Sus scrofa: one gene and its partners. The protein of the gene in region 1 interacts with the protein of each later gene in a pairwise test. Links are inferred from orthologs where the notes say so. Each region holds a gene or a part of one and is shown in the gene's direction. Other genes may lie near its edges.

What was found.
Region 2: the proteins of PNMA1 (region 1) and TNNI1 interact in binary tests that used the Homo sapiens proteins (3 or more experiments, as listed by UniProt). The two-hybrid records come from large-scale screens. The link is inferred for Sus scrofa from reciprocal best matches to the Homo sapiens genes PNMA1 and TNNI1.
Region 3: the proteins of PNMA1 (region 1) and MCM7 interact in binary tests that used the Homo sapiens proteins (3 or more experiments, as listed by UniProt). The two-hybrid records come from large-scale screens. The link is inferred for Sus scrofa from reciprocal best matches to the Homo sapiens genes PNMA1 and MCM7.

Annotation. Positions count from the first base shown.
Region 1 is NC_010449.5:97,049,289-97,053,031, reverse strand, and holds the start of PNMA1 (paraneoplastic antigen Ma1), read left to right. Parts: upstream 1-1,174; 5' UTR 1,175-2,014; coding exon 2,015-3,076; 3' UTR 3,077-3,743.
Region 2 is NC_010452.4:23,797,880-23,801,622, reverse strand, and holds the start of TNNI1 (troponin I, slow skeletal muscle), read left to right. Parts: upstream 1-1,068; 5' UTR 1,069-1,169; intron 1,170-1,284; 5' UTR 1,285-1,410; intron 1,411-1,514; exon of another isoform or gene 1,515-1,524; 5' UTR 1,525-1,576; intron 1,577-3,743. UniProt on the Homo sapiens protein: Troponin I is the inhibitory subunit of troponin, the thin filament regulatory complex which confers calcium-sensitivity to striated muscle actomyosin ATPase activity.
Region 3 is NC_010445.4:8,011,109-8,014,851, reverse strand, and holds the start of MCM7 (DNA replication licensing factor MCM7), read left to right. Parts: upstream 1-856; 5' UTR 857-955; coding exon of another isoform or gene 956-1,013; 5' UTR 1,014-1,430; coding exon 1,431-1,461; intron 1,462-1,972; exon of another isoform or gene 1,973-2,344; intron 2,345-2,626; coding exon 2,627-2,706; intron 2,707-3,006; coding exon 3,007-3,171; intron 3,172-3,458; coding exon 3,459-3,583; intron 3,584-3,657; coding exon 3,658-3,743. Other genes in the region: AP4M1 (AP-4 complex subunit mu-1), read right to left, coding at 1-176, 256-362, 768-856, 956-1,013. UniProt on the Homo sapiens protein: Acts as a component of the MCM2-7 complex (MCM complex) which is the replicative helicase essential for 'once per cell cycle' DNA replication initiation and elongation in eukaryotic cells.

The DNA of each region.
Region 1 (3,743 bases):
CAACACATACACAAGCCTCAGCTGTTTAAATATGTTTTTACCGGGGCTCAGTTTTCTCAGATGGTATTTATTACCAGTGGCAAGCCTAACTCCTTAGGTTTACAGGAAGTATGCATATTTTTATAAAACAATTGTATGTCCTCCCCATATTTTGCTGTATTAATATTTGCCTCTAACTAACAATTTGCAGCTGTTTCACCTTTTCCTCATTTGTCTCTTAGTCAAAGGCCTTGTTGGAGGGGACAGAGCACAGGAACAGCCTTGATAGTCTGTAATTATTGTACAAATATTTTAATAGCATATAAATAAGTATATTCCTTTTATTTTGAAAAAATCAGACACTGCCTTTTGTGTGTTTGCTGCCTGTGGCACCCTTTTTTAAAAGACTGTTACATATTAAAATAGTGTACATATATATAAATATTACCTCTTTTGCTGTACAGTTGTGATAGACCAGACGGAAGATTTTATTTTTTGTGTGCTTTTTATAAAAAAAAAAATTAACACACTAAAGAAAATCTTGCTGATGTGATTGTAATGTACCTATGTAACTTATTTACTTTTGAATGTTCTTCTGTATCTTTAAACCTTTTATTAAATAAGGTTTTAAAAATTCAGAGTTGATTTCTGTGTCCTTTGGGGGAAAGATTTATTATCTCACCATCTGGGATTGTAAGTGTGCCTTGGTTTGCTTCCAAAGGATACTTGACATTTTTGAACCATAAGGCCTGTTTTATCCATGATGCCAGGGCAGGGGAAATAACACATTAGTGTTTGCCGGGTTACTATTCATAGAGATCTAGATCTTTTTACAACATTTTAGACAAGAAGAAGTCTCAACTCACTGGGATAAAATTTAGAGGGTGCAGAGTGCAGTCAGGTGGTACAGGGTATTATACAGCATTGCCTCTGAACGAGCGACGCGAGTAGACAAGTCTTTCTTGACGGCCGGATATCATCTTAAATCCACTCCAGAATTATATTATCTTTTAAACACAGTGCTTTGTTAAGAAAAAAAAAAATCTGGAAAATGCGAAAAAGGAAATGCGCGGTAAAGGAAATTAACGCCCGCGGCCCCGAGCTGCCACCATGGCAACCATTCGCCCCTGCAGGCCGCTAGAGCTCCGGCGTCTCGCGTCGGTGGTTGCCGTGGCTACGGTCGCGCGGGCAGGGCCGCGGGGGGCGGGGCGAGGCGGGTCGAAGGCCGGCCCCGCCCTCCACTGCGGCAGTAAAGGCTAGGCTGGCTGCGGGTGGGACCGAGGTACAACTGTGCAGCTCCAGCCCACCTCGGCCCGCGGTCGCCTGCGTGCGGGGCTGCCGCGGCCTGCCTGCGACTGCGCCTGCGCCTCCTCTAGCCTGGCTTCCGCGTCTTTCCTGCGCCTCTGCTGCCTGTGTTCTTGGTCCTTGGCGTCCTCGCCGCCCAGAGGGATACGTTTGCCCACGAAGAAGCTCTCTCGGGTTGGCCTCGCTGCCGCCGCTGTCTTTCCCTTAGGACAGTCTTTCCCTCCGGGGGCGGTACTAGTTCTTGTCTGCGGAGAAGCGGCTCCTAGCTCGTCTGAGGCGTGCTCCGCTCTGGCAACGAAAGCTTGCACCCTCTGGGAGCAGCAGCGAGTGCCTGGCGCCCAGGCTGCGAAGAGGCGGCCACGTCCCGCGATCAAGCCCTGCGGCTCCTGCTTTCGCCGCCCGCCTTTTTTCCTCGCCTCTGCGCTCCGACGCGACACCTTCCTGTAAGTGGAGGACCCGGCCTGCGGATCCCGACCGGAGACACAAGATGGCGATGGCCATGTGACTGAGCATCCCCGAGGCTTCGTTCCGAGAACGCGGAGGCCTGGCTTTGAGGGGCAGCGAAAAGAGGAGAGCAGGACACTGGTGTCGTTTGTTAAACGTGATTGACTCCCTCGGGCATATGGGGGGAGGTGGCGGTGGGAGCGTCTGCTATTGTCTTCAGTTTTAGAGCACAGGGAGCCACAGTCTAATTGTATTTGTAGAATTGGGGCCCTTGATAGTTGGGAAAATGGCGATGACACTGCTGGAAGATTGGTGTAGGGGGATGGATGTGAACTCCCAGAGAGCCCTTCTGGTCTGGGGGATCCCTGTGAACTGTGATGAGACCGAAATCGAAGAGACCTTTCAAGCTGCGATGCCCCAGGTGCCCTATCGAGTGCTTGGGAGAATGTTCTGGAGGGAAGAGAATGCCAAAGCAGCCTTGTTAGAGCTCACTGGTGCTGTCGATTATGCTGCGATCCCCAGGGAGATGCCAGGTAAAGGAGGGGTCTGGAAAGTAGTCTTTAAGCCCCCCACTTCCGATGCTGAATTTTTAGAAAGGTTGCACCTCTTCCTAGCAAGAGAGGGGTGGACCGTGCAAGATGTTGCCCGTGTCCTTGGGTTTCAGAACCCCACTCCGGCCCCAGGCCCCGAAATGCCGGCAGAGATGCTAAACTATATTTTGGATAATGTTATTCAGCCTCTGGTTGAGTCCATATGGTACAAGAAGCTGACGTTGTTCTCGGGAAGGGACATTCCGGGGCCAGGGGAGGAGGCATTTGATCCCTGGCTGGAGCACACTAATGAGGTCATAGAGGAGTGGCAGGTGCCTGATGTAGAAAAGAGGCGGCGGTTGATGGAGAGCCTTAGAGGCCCTGCCGCTGATGTCATCCGCATCCTCAAGACCAACAACCCTGCGATTACCACCGCTGAATGCCTGAAGGCGCTGGAGCAGGTGTTTGGGAGCGTCGAGAGCTCTAGGGATGCGCAGGTGAGATTTCTGAACACATACCAGAACCCGGGAGAAAAATTATCTGCTTATGTGATTCGTCTGGAGCCTCTGCTGCAGAAGGTGGTTGAGAAGGGGGCCATAGATAAAGATAACGTGAACCAGGCCCGCCTGGAGCAGGTCATTGCCGGGGCCAATCACAGCGGAGCCATCCGAAGGCAGTTGTGGCTGACCGGGGCTGCTGAAGGGCCGGCCCCCAACCTCTTCCAGTTGCTGGTGCAGATCCGCGAGGAGGAGGCCAAGGAAGAGGAGGAGGAGGCTGAGGCCGCCCTCCTGCAGTTAGGCCTGGAGGGGCACTTCTGAGTCCCAGGAAAGGGGGCGTTAGTTCAGACCTAGATCACGGCTGCTTTCATTGTCTCTGTGATGTCTTACAGGTGTGTCTCCTGCTAGTAAAGACTAAGCGGTGTTTTTTGTTTTTGGGCGGGAGTCCGGCCTGGGTATTCATGTGTCATTAGCACAATCGTGCAGGGGAGCACCAGATCTGCTGCAGCGCTCGTGGGTCATGCTAGCTACAATGCCAGGGAAAGGCTTGGACGTGAGTCCTCATTGCAAGCTATCATCATGGCACCATCATCGGTTGTGAAAAATGTGGTCTCGTGACTCTTCCCATCAAGGTAATTAAATATGAAATTGCATGTTCAGATGTATAATGAGTGCAGGGCCTGGATACCAAAAGAACTGTTCAGTAAAAAATGTCAACTGTTTACTCTTAACTGTGGTGAATAGTTTTTGTGTCTACCGTAAATTGTTCCTGGTTTATATTAATGGAAAGAAATGTGAATAAGGTATTATTCAGCTTTACAGTGCAGATTTCTTACTGTACATCTTTAAAGATCTAGATCAGTTTAATTGAAAAGTGTTCTGAGACTACAAAATGGGGTGTTAGAACGATACTGCGCTTACAGGGCTGTGTAAATCAAGTTTTCACTGTGTAAGATGCAGATATAAAATGCATGGGGAGGTTAATAGG
Region 2 (3,743 bases), on another chromosome or scaffold:
AACAAATCCAACTAGGAACCATGAGGTTGTGGGTTCGAGCCCTGGCCTCCCTCAGTGGGTTAAGGATCCAGCGTTGCCGTGAGCTGTGTTGTAGGTTGCAGACGTGGCTCGGATCCCAAGTTGCTGTGGCTGTGGTGTAGGCCAGTGGCTATGGCTCCGATTAGATCCCTAGCCTGGGATCCTCCATATGCCGCAGGTACGGTCTGAAAAAAGGACAAAAAGACAAAAAAAAAAAAAGATTTTGTAAGACAGATCTAGTCTATTGTAAATTGTAAACATGATAGACCCAGGCAATAAACTCCAGCAGACTCACCCCCGCCCCCAGAGTCCTCCTCTGATCCCCAGCTGCTCCTTGGCGGGCGTCCGCCTCTGTTTTCCATCCCAGCCTCTTCACCCAGAATCCTGTGCCCCAACCTGCACACCCCCAGACCCTGTTCTTCCTCCCCACCTGGAGGTTCCCCAAAGGTACCTGACCGGAGCCAAATTAGAGCAACCTCTGTTGGTCTAGAGGGCAGGGCCTTCCCCTCCATGGCACTTGGGTACCTCCTGAGGACACCCCACGACCAGCTCTGCTCCCACTGGACCGGAGCACAGCTAGCGCTCCCCAACCATTTGCCCCTGGCAGGGCCTCTCCTGGCTTCCGAGAGGGGTCAGCGTCCTGATTGTCCTGCCCCAGCCTGGGCTCCTGGCCCATGAGATGACCAACAATAATAGCCACTGGATTAACATAGCAGGCATTGTCTTCCTCTGAGCACAGGGTGGGTATTAGGTGTTCACCCACTGTCCTAAAAATAGCCAGAAGACAGGTGCACCAGCCCCTGGGCGCCGCTGGCCTGTGGCTGGACACAGAGGATGGGACGGGGCGGGGGAGGGGAAGTTAGTCTTGCCAGGTTCCTGGCACAGGGCTGGGTGTCGCTGGAACCCCCGAAACCCACCGGGAGAGGGCGCTGAGCATCTGTGGACCCTCAGATGCCACGGGCTTGAAGGGCAGCTCAGCCCCAGTACCCTCCCTGGACCCCGCGTGACACTCTTTATGTCACCACTCAGGTCCAGGCATCGTCTGGGCTCAAGAGGTCCAGAGCCTCAGAAGATGCCTGCACAGCAAGACTGCCTACTTGGAGCGTAGACTGAGGGGTCGGGTCCAGATGCTTCCTTGTGAGAGAAGGAGGGTGAGGGAGATGGCCCCCCTCCACCAGCCCTGCTGTCCCTGGGCCTCCGGGTGCCCCAGCCCCACCCCTGCTCAGAGCCCCGTCTGATCTGCTTATCTGTCCCCCCCATTCCCAGGGCTCCAGTCTCCTGGAGGGTGGCCACTGTGTGCCCAGGCTCTGTGCGTCCTTCTGAGCCTGGTACATGCATGTGTGTCTTCAAGCCTGTTGGCCGCTCTGTGTGCTGCCCTGTCCCCTCCATGAGGTGTGTGTGTGGTGGGCAGGGGCGGGGGAGGGGCGGCGGGTCTGTTCTATTTTTACCAGCCAGTTGCCGAGGGCTGGAGTTTTCAAAGCCTCCCCACCACTCTGCCCCCCACAGTCTGCAGTCCACAGCGAGCCGAGGCCAGCCTGACCCACAGAGACTGAGCACGGTGAGTGTCCGCAGCCTGGGCAGATGAGCTGGGCTCTAGGTTCAGGATGGAGCAGGGCTTGGACGTGGAAGACGAGGGCTCTTGCCTGTGCGATTGGGTTTGGGGCGAGCAGTCCTAAGACAGCCCTGCATCATTTTGTGCTGCAGGACAGCATCCCCTGTAAAGGTGGCTGGAGGGGAACCCCCCGCCCCAAACCCATTTAAAAGCTGGAGCCCAGAGGGGGCTTTTCCACCTGCTGCCCCAGGAACCCCAGGGTGGAGCCAGGGGACTGTTTCTACCCTGGCCACCCAGCTGGTCCCAGGAGGGAGAGGAGTGCCCTGGGGACCAGAGGGGGCAGAGGGGTTACAGCTGCACGTTGAGGGGAGCCTGGTGAGCAGGGCGGGGAGTGACCCCTGGGGTGGAGGAGAAGGAAAGAGGTAGGGGCAGGCCTGGGGGGCTGGAAGGCTGCACCCTACCACCCCCCGCGGACATCGTCCTGCCTCTTTGTTCTTTGTTTCCGAGGGACTCACTTGGCGCCCTTGTAGACGACGGAGCTGGTGCGGGCAGAGCGCCAGCCCTGTGTCCGCCCCCCTGCGCCCCCCTGCACTCCTGGTCCCGGGGGAAGGTGGGGGCTCTGGGGGGAAGGTAGGAGGGCACAGCATCAGGGTTGGAGGCAAGCCCGGAACCCACAAGTGAGGTGGGGGCATGGGGGGGGGAGCTGGAGGCAGCCCTGCTACTGGCTGTGAGACTGTCCCCAGCACTTGGGGGGCCTGCTTATTCTGTGCTCAGGGTTAGGGGTGGACCCCTCAGCCTCAGCCTTGGGAGCACAAGCCTGTCAGACAGGGAGGACTCGGATGCCCTTGAAGTGGGGCCCAAGGTCGGGAATGGGAACAGGGGGAGGAAATTCGCTTGCCTGAGAGTCAGGTGTGCAAAGACAACAGGTCCTCTCCCTGCTCACACATGATCACATACACACACCCCCCACACTCACCCGAGCACACACTCACACCCATGGGCATACACACTCACACTCTCACACACACTCACTCGGGGCTTCGGGGGGGGCGCAATCCAGTGACCCCCCCCTCCACTGTGGTTCCCATTAGGTTATCACCTTCTGGCTGCTGGGGGCAGGGGGCGGGCGGCCCGCTGAGCTGCCTTCTCTGCAGTTGAGTTCTTATCTGGTTCCCCCTTGTCTTCCAGGGGATGTGTTGAGGGGCCTCGTCTGAGGGGGAGGGATCTGAGCATGGCTGGGACCCAGGCTAGCTGCATGGGCAGGGGGCTCTCCAAGGAGGCGTGGATGCAGCCCTTACCGAGGGCGAGCTCTGGGCCCCCAGGGGCCGGGCATGGCAGGGTTGATGATGGGACAGGGGCCTGGGGTGGGTCTTCCCAACTACCCTTCCTCTTTGGGCCTCCCCCACGTCTCCAGAGGGGAGCAGCCCTCGAATAAACAGCTGGCGATAAAATCTAATTCCAGCCAAGCATCTCGGGAATGTACGTGGCTTCCACCTCCCCACTGTGCCCCAGGGTGACAGCTGAGGCTCCGGGTCACGCTCCCTTTCCCTCCCCCCTCCCAGGCCTCACCCTTCCCTGGCCCAGGAGGGGGTGGTTTCTGATGGGAGGTTCGGGAGGGGCGGCCAAGGCCCACCCAGGCTTCCAGGGCACAGCGGGGAAGGGGAGAGATGAGGCAGGGGCAGGTGGCTCTGGCGGGAGGGGACTGTGGCCTCCCTGGTGAGTCCTGTGGAGTCTGCCCTCCCCCACTCCAGGCCAGGCTCTGGACCCAATCCAAGCTCCTGGGCCCTGCGCTCAGCCCCCACCCCATCCCCTCCCACTTCATGACCCAGCTCAGGGCTCCCAGCCTGCCTTGCACACCTGCCCCCCTCTCCTGCATGCCCCACGCCCGCTCCCCCATATCTTTGGCACAAGCCCCGCCCCCTTGGTCCAACTGGGGCCAGATGGGGGTCAGGCCTCACCCTCACAGCCCCAGGACCCTCTCTTGGTCTGGGTGCCAGCGTGTCTGGCTAAAAGGAGCCCCAGGATCACCAGTCAGGGGGCTTCCAACTGGAGGCAGAGGTCCTCACGGCAGACACGGGCCCGGGGGCTAAGTCCCTGCCACCAGGGCCGGGCTCTGCTGACTGGATCCAGTTTGAACAAAGGCTCAAGAGCCAAATATTAAGTAGAAAACAAG
Region 3 (3,743 bases), on another chromosome or scaffold:
AATGAGTGGACTTGGTCTCCCAACCACGGGATGTATCTTCAGAGAATAGGGGACAGGGAAGGACGTTCTCAGACCTCACCAGCACTTCATCCAGGAGTTCGTAGACCAGAGCCACGTTGCGGGAGATGGTCCCCTCGCCCAGGGAGCCACAGTAATCTCCCAGGAGAGTGGCTAGCCTGCAGAAACACAATGGAGTGTGCATATCGGCCTCCTCTCCCACCCCCACGCCCATGTGCCCAGCCCTGTCCTCCTCACCGGGAGAGCAGCTCTAGGAGGCTGAAGGGAGAAATGTTCTCTGAAGTCGTGGCCACCAAATAGAGGCCGTTGTGTCTGATGTGAATAAAATGACGGTCATCGTGGTGCTGAGGTAGAGGCAGGGGGAAAAGCATTAGGAAACGAGAGTTGTAATGATTCCTGGCCTGTGAGACAGGCTAGTATCCGGATTCCCCTACTTACTAGCAACGTGATTTGGGGCCACATATGAAACCTCCCTAGAGCCCAGCTTCCTATTGTGTAAATGGTATTAATAACAGTACCAACTAACTGAGTAGCTGAGGACAGAGATGTGTAAGGAACTGTGCCTGGAACACGGTTGCTGCTCAATAAACTGCCATTAACATTTGGACTACTGCACTTCCCAAGTAGAAGCTCTCAGGGAAAGAGCCCTGGGAAGATCCCCGCACTGCCCTCCCCACCCCAGCCCCCGCCGCCTCGGAGCGCTGAGCGCATCCCTTCCACCACCACCCCCCACCCCCGCCAGTGGTTACCATGACAACAGGAGACTCGTCTCCGGGCAGTCCCGTCAGCTTCCGGTAGAAGAGCTCTGCCACATCCCGGCCGCCGCTGTCTCCGCGGACTGACGGGATAGAAGAACAGCTAAGGAGCCAGCGACACTGGCTAGCTCGGAGGCACCAGTCCCACCCAGCCCCAACCCCGCCCCGCAAGCCAAGGATACAGTCCTTGTAGATGAGCGGGTCCCCCTTGGAGGACAGAATGAAGAACTGGGAAATCATGGCCGTTCTGGAGGGTAGACCAGGAGGCAGCGAAAAGTTGGGCCTGCCCCGCCCTGCGGCCCCGGAACAAAAGGACGGGAATGGGCTGGCCCTTTAAGAGGGCTTCTCCTCCGACCGCGGGAAACCTGGCGCCTGCCCCGCCTCGCTCAGCCTTTCCCTCTCAGTACCCGCGCCATTTCCCCGTCAGTCACCCCAGGTTCTCCCGGTGATTGGTTGACGCTGGGGCCTGTGGCGAGTGGGCGGGGCGGAGGACCTCCTCTCTGATTGGCCCGCACACAGCGGCGCTGGTCACATGGGGGGCGACGTTTCGCGCCAATTTCGGTTGGTCGGCTGCGGACCACGGCGCAGACGGTTTTTGCTGCCCAGGCAGTGAGAGGTCTGAGCCCGCCAACTGCTGCCGCGCAGCCCTGGGCAGCAATGGCACTTAAGGACTACGCTCTCGAGAAAGGTGAGGGTCTGCAAGCGTGGGAGGGGCGTCCTGCGCGGAAAGGTTCCTGACCAACACCTGTTGGTGGTGGGTTGGGTTCCTGAGGGGCCTGGCCCGGAGCGCAAGGTCAACGGTAGGGTCGGGAAGCGTCGGGGCTGAGGCCTACGGTAACTGGGAGGCGTACGAGGCGCCAGGGTCGGGGAAGAGCTGGTAACCGGGTCCGGGAAAGGAGTGGGTATCGTGGGGTGGGGGGCGGACACCCCGGCTGGAGGCTCCAGAAGGAACGGTCGCGCCTTAGACCAAGGCTTCCAGGGGCCGTAAGGTTCAGGGTCTGGCACCCGCGGGCCCGCTTCCTTCCACGGTCTTAGGCACTCAAGAGTAGCCGCGTCCTCCCGCGACGCGCCGAAGCCCCGGGGGCGGGCAGGCCTGAGCCGCTGCGCGCCGGGATTGGTCGCGTCAGGCTAACCTCCAAGCGGAAGTGAAGGCGAGCGGAAGTTGCGCGACACCGCTGGAGGGTGTCGTGTGTAAACAGTGTCCTTCCGCGCGGTGGCCGCGGAGAGAACTACTGAGGATGGGGGCGTGCCTGGGATGGGGGAGTTTAGAGGAAGACCGAGGGAAGAAGTGGTGGGGTGGGACGGAGTGGCCCTCGAGGAGCTGGCCAATCGCTGGACGGTCTCCCGCCCTGAGCGGAGGAATCCCGGGCTGTGAGGCGGCGGCATCATCTGGGCCCATGTGCTTCTTTGTTTACTAAGAGCGGAAGCAGTGGCGGGAGAGGGGGTGGGGCGGAGGACGGGCCTGGTGGCGGAGGTCCCGGTGAGAGCGGCGATTTAGGAGACAGAAAGAAAAGGGGAAGCGTTCGCGCGGAAGAAAAGCTGAGAGTCTTGAGATCTGGGTGTGTTGCCAGGTGTGGGAGGCCCTTGGAAAAGGGTTCCGAGATTTCTAACTAAGGCTGAGAGTGGAATTCCCTTGGGGGGTGGGTGTTGGGTAATATTCGCAACTGCCAGGGGTCCCTCTGCTCCCCCAGATAAAAACGGACTTGGAAAAGGAGTTTGTAGGTTTGTTTAAATAAATCTTCATTTATCTAATTAGTTCAGAGATCTCATTTTAAGTGAAAGTGAATCAGAGGAGTTTGGAGTAAGGTATCTGAAGAAAGATTGATCGTCACGATTTTACACTTTCCTTGTAGAAAAAGTGAAGAAGTTTCTACAGGAGTTTTACCAAGATGACGAACTTGGCAAGAAGCAGTTCAAGTATGGGAACCAGTTGGTAAGTCTAAGGTTAGGTAGAAGAAATGGGATGGTGGCTTAAGGAGCTACTAAGAAGTGGCCTGACTTGTTTTAGCAAGGCTGTTTTTCTCTTTAAGTGACAAGTTTAGCATCATACCTGTTAACAGTACTATATTCACAATAATTAAGGTATTTTTAGGAGTTAACTGAGAGGTGAGTATTTTTTCTGTCTCACAGTGCTCTTTCTGTCCTTTGGAGGCTTGGTAACTTGTGTGTTGAGCCACAGTGATGGGTTCTTGCCTGTGAACTTGGCTCTGTTGCCGTCTCCCCCCACCCCCAGGTTCGATTGGCTCATCGGGAGCAAGTGGCAATGTACATAGACCTAGACGACGTCACTGAGGATGATCCTGAGTTGGTGGACTCCATTTGTGAGAACACCAAGCGCTATGCCAGGCTCTTCGCTGATGCTGTGCAAGAGCTGCTGCCTCAGTACAAGGAGAGGGAGGTGAGGAAAATGCAGGGCAAGAAACTTAGGTTTCTGTTGAGAAGCTACTCGGGTATTTTCTTCTATTGCTGTTGTTAGGCCCTGACACAGCATGTGGAAGTTCCCATGCCAGGCATCCAACCTGAGCCACAGCAGCAGCAACGCTGAATCCTTAACCCATTGTGCCACAAGAGAACTCAGGTATTTTCTGAGCTGGCAAAAAGGGTGGTGATTGCTGCCTGGAGCCTTTTATGCTGTCTCCTTTCCCTATCTTACCACTTAGTTTTCTTATTTTCCTATCCTTTCAGGTGGTAAATAAAGATGTCCTGGATGTTTACATTGAGCACCGGCTGATGATGGAGCAGCGCAGCCGGGACCCAGGGGCAGCCCGGAGTCCCCAAAACCAGTACCCTCCTGAACTGATGCGCAGATTGTGAGTGGGCTCAGGGGGAAGTATGTGGGGGTTTGATCCCCAGCACCTTGCTCATCACTTTCTTCCCCCTTTAGCGAGCTGTATTTTCAAGGCCCGAGCAGTAGCAAACCTCGTGTGATCCGTGAAGTACGGGCTGACTCTGTGGGGAAATTGGTAACTG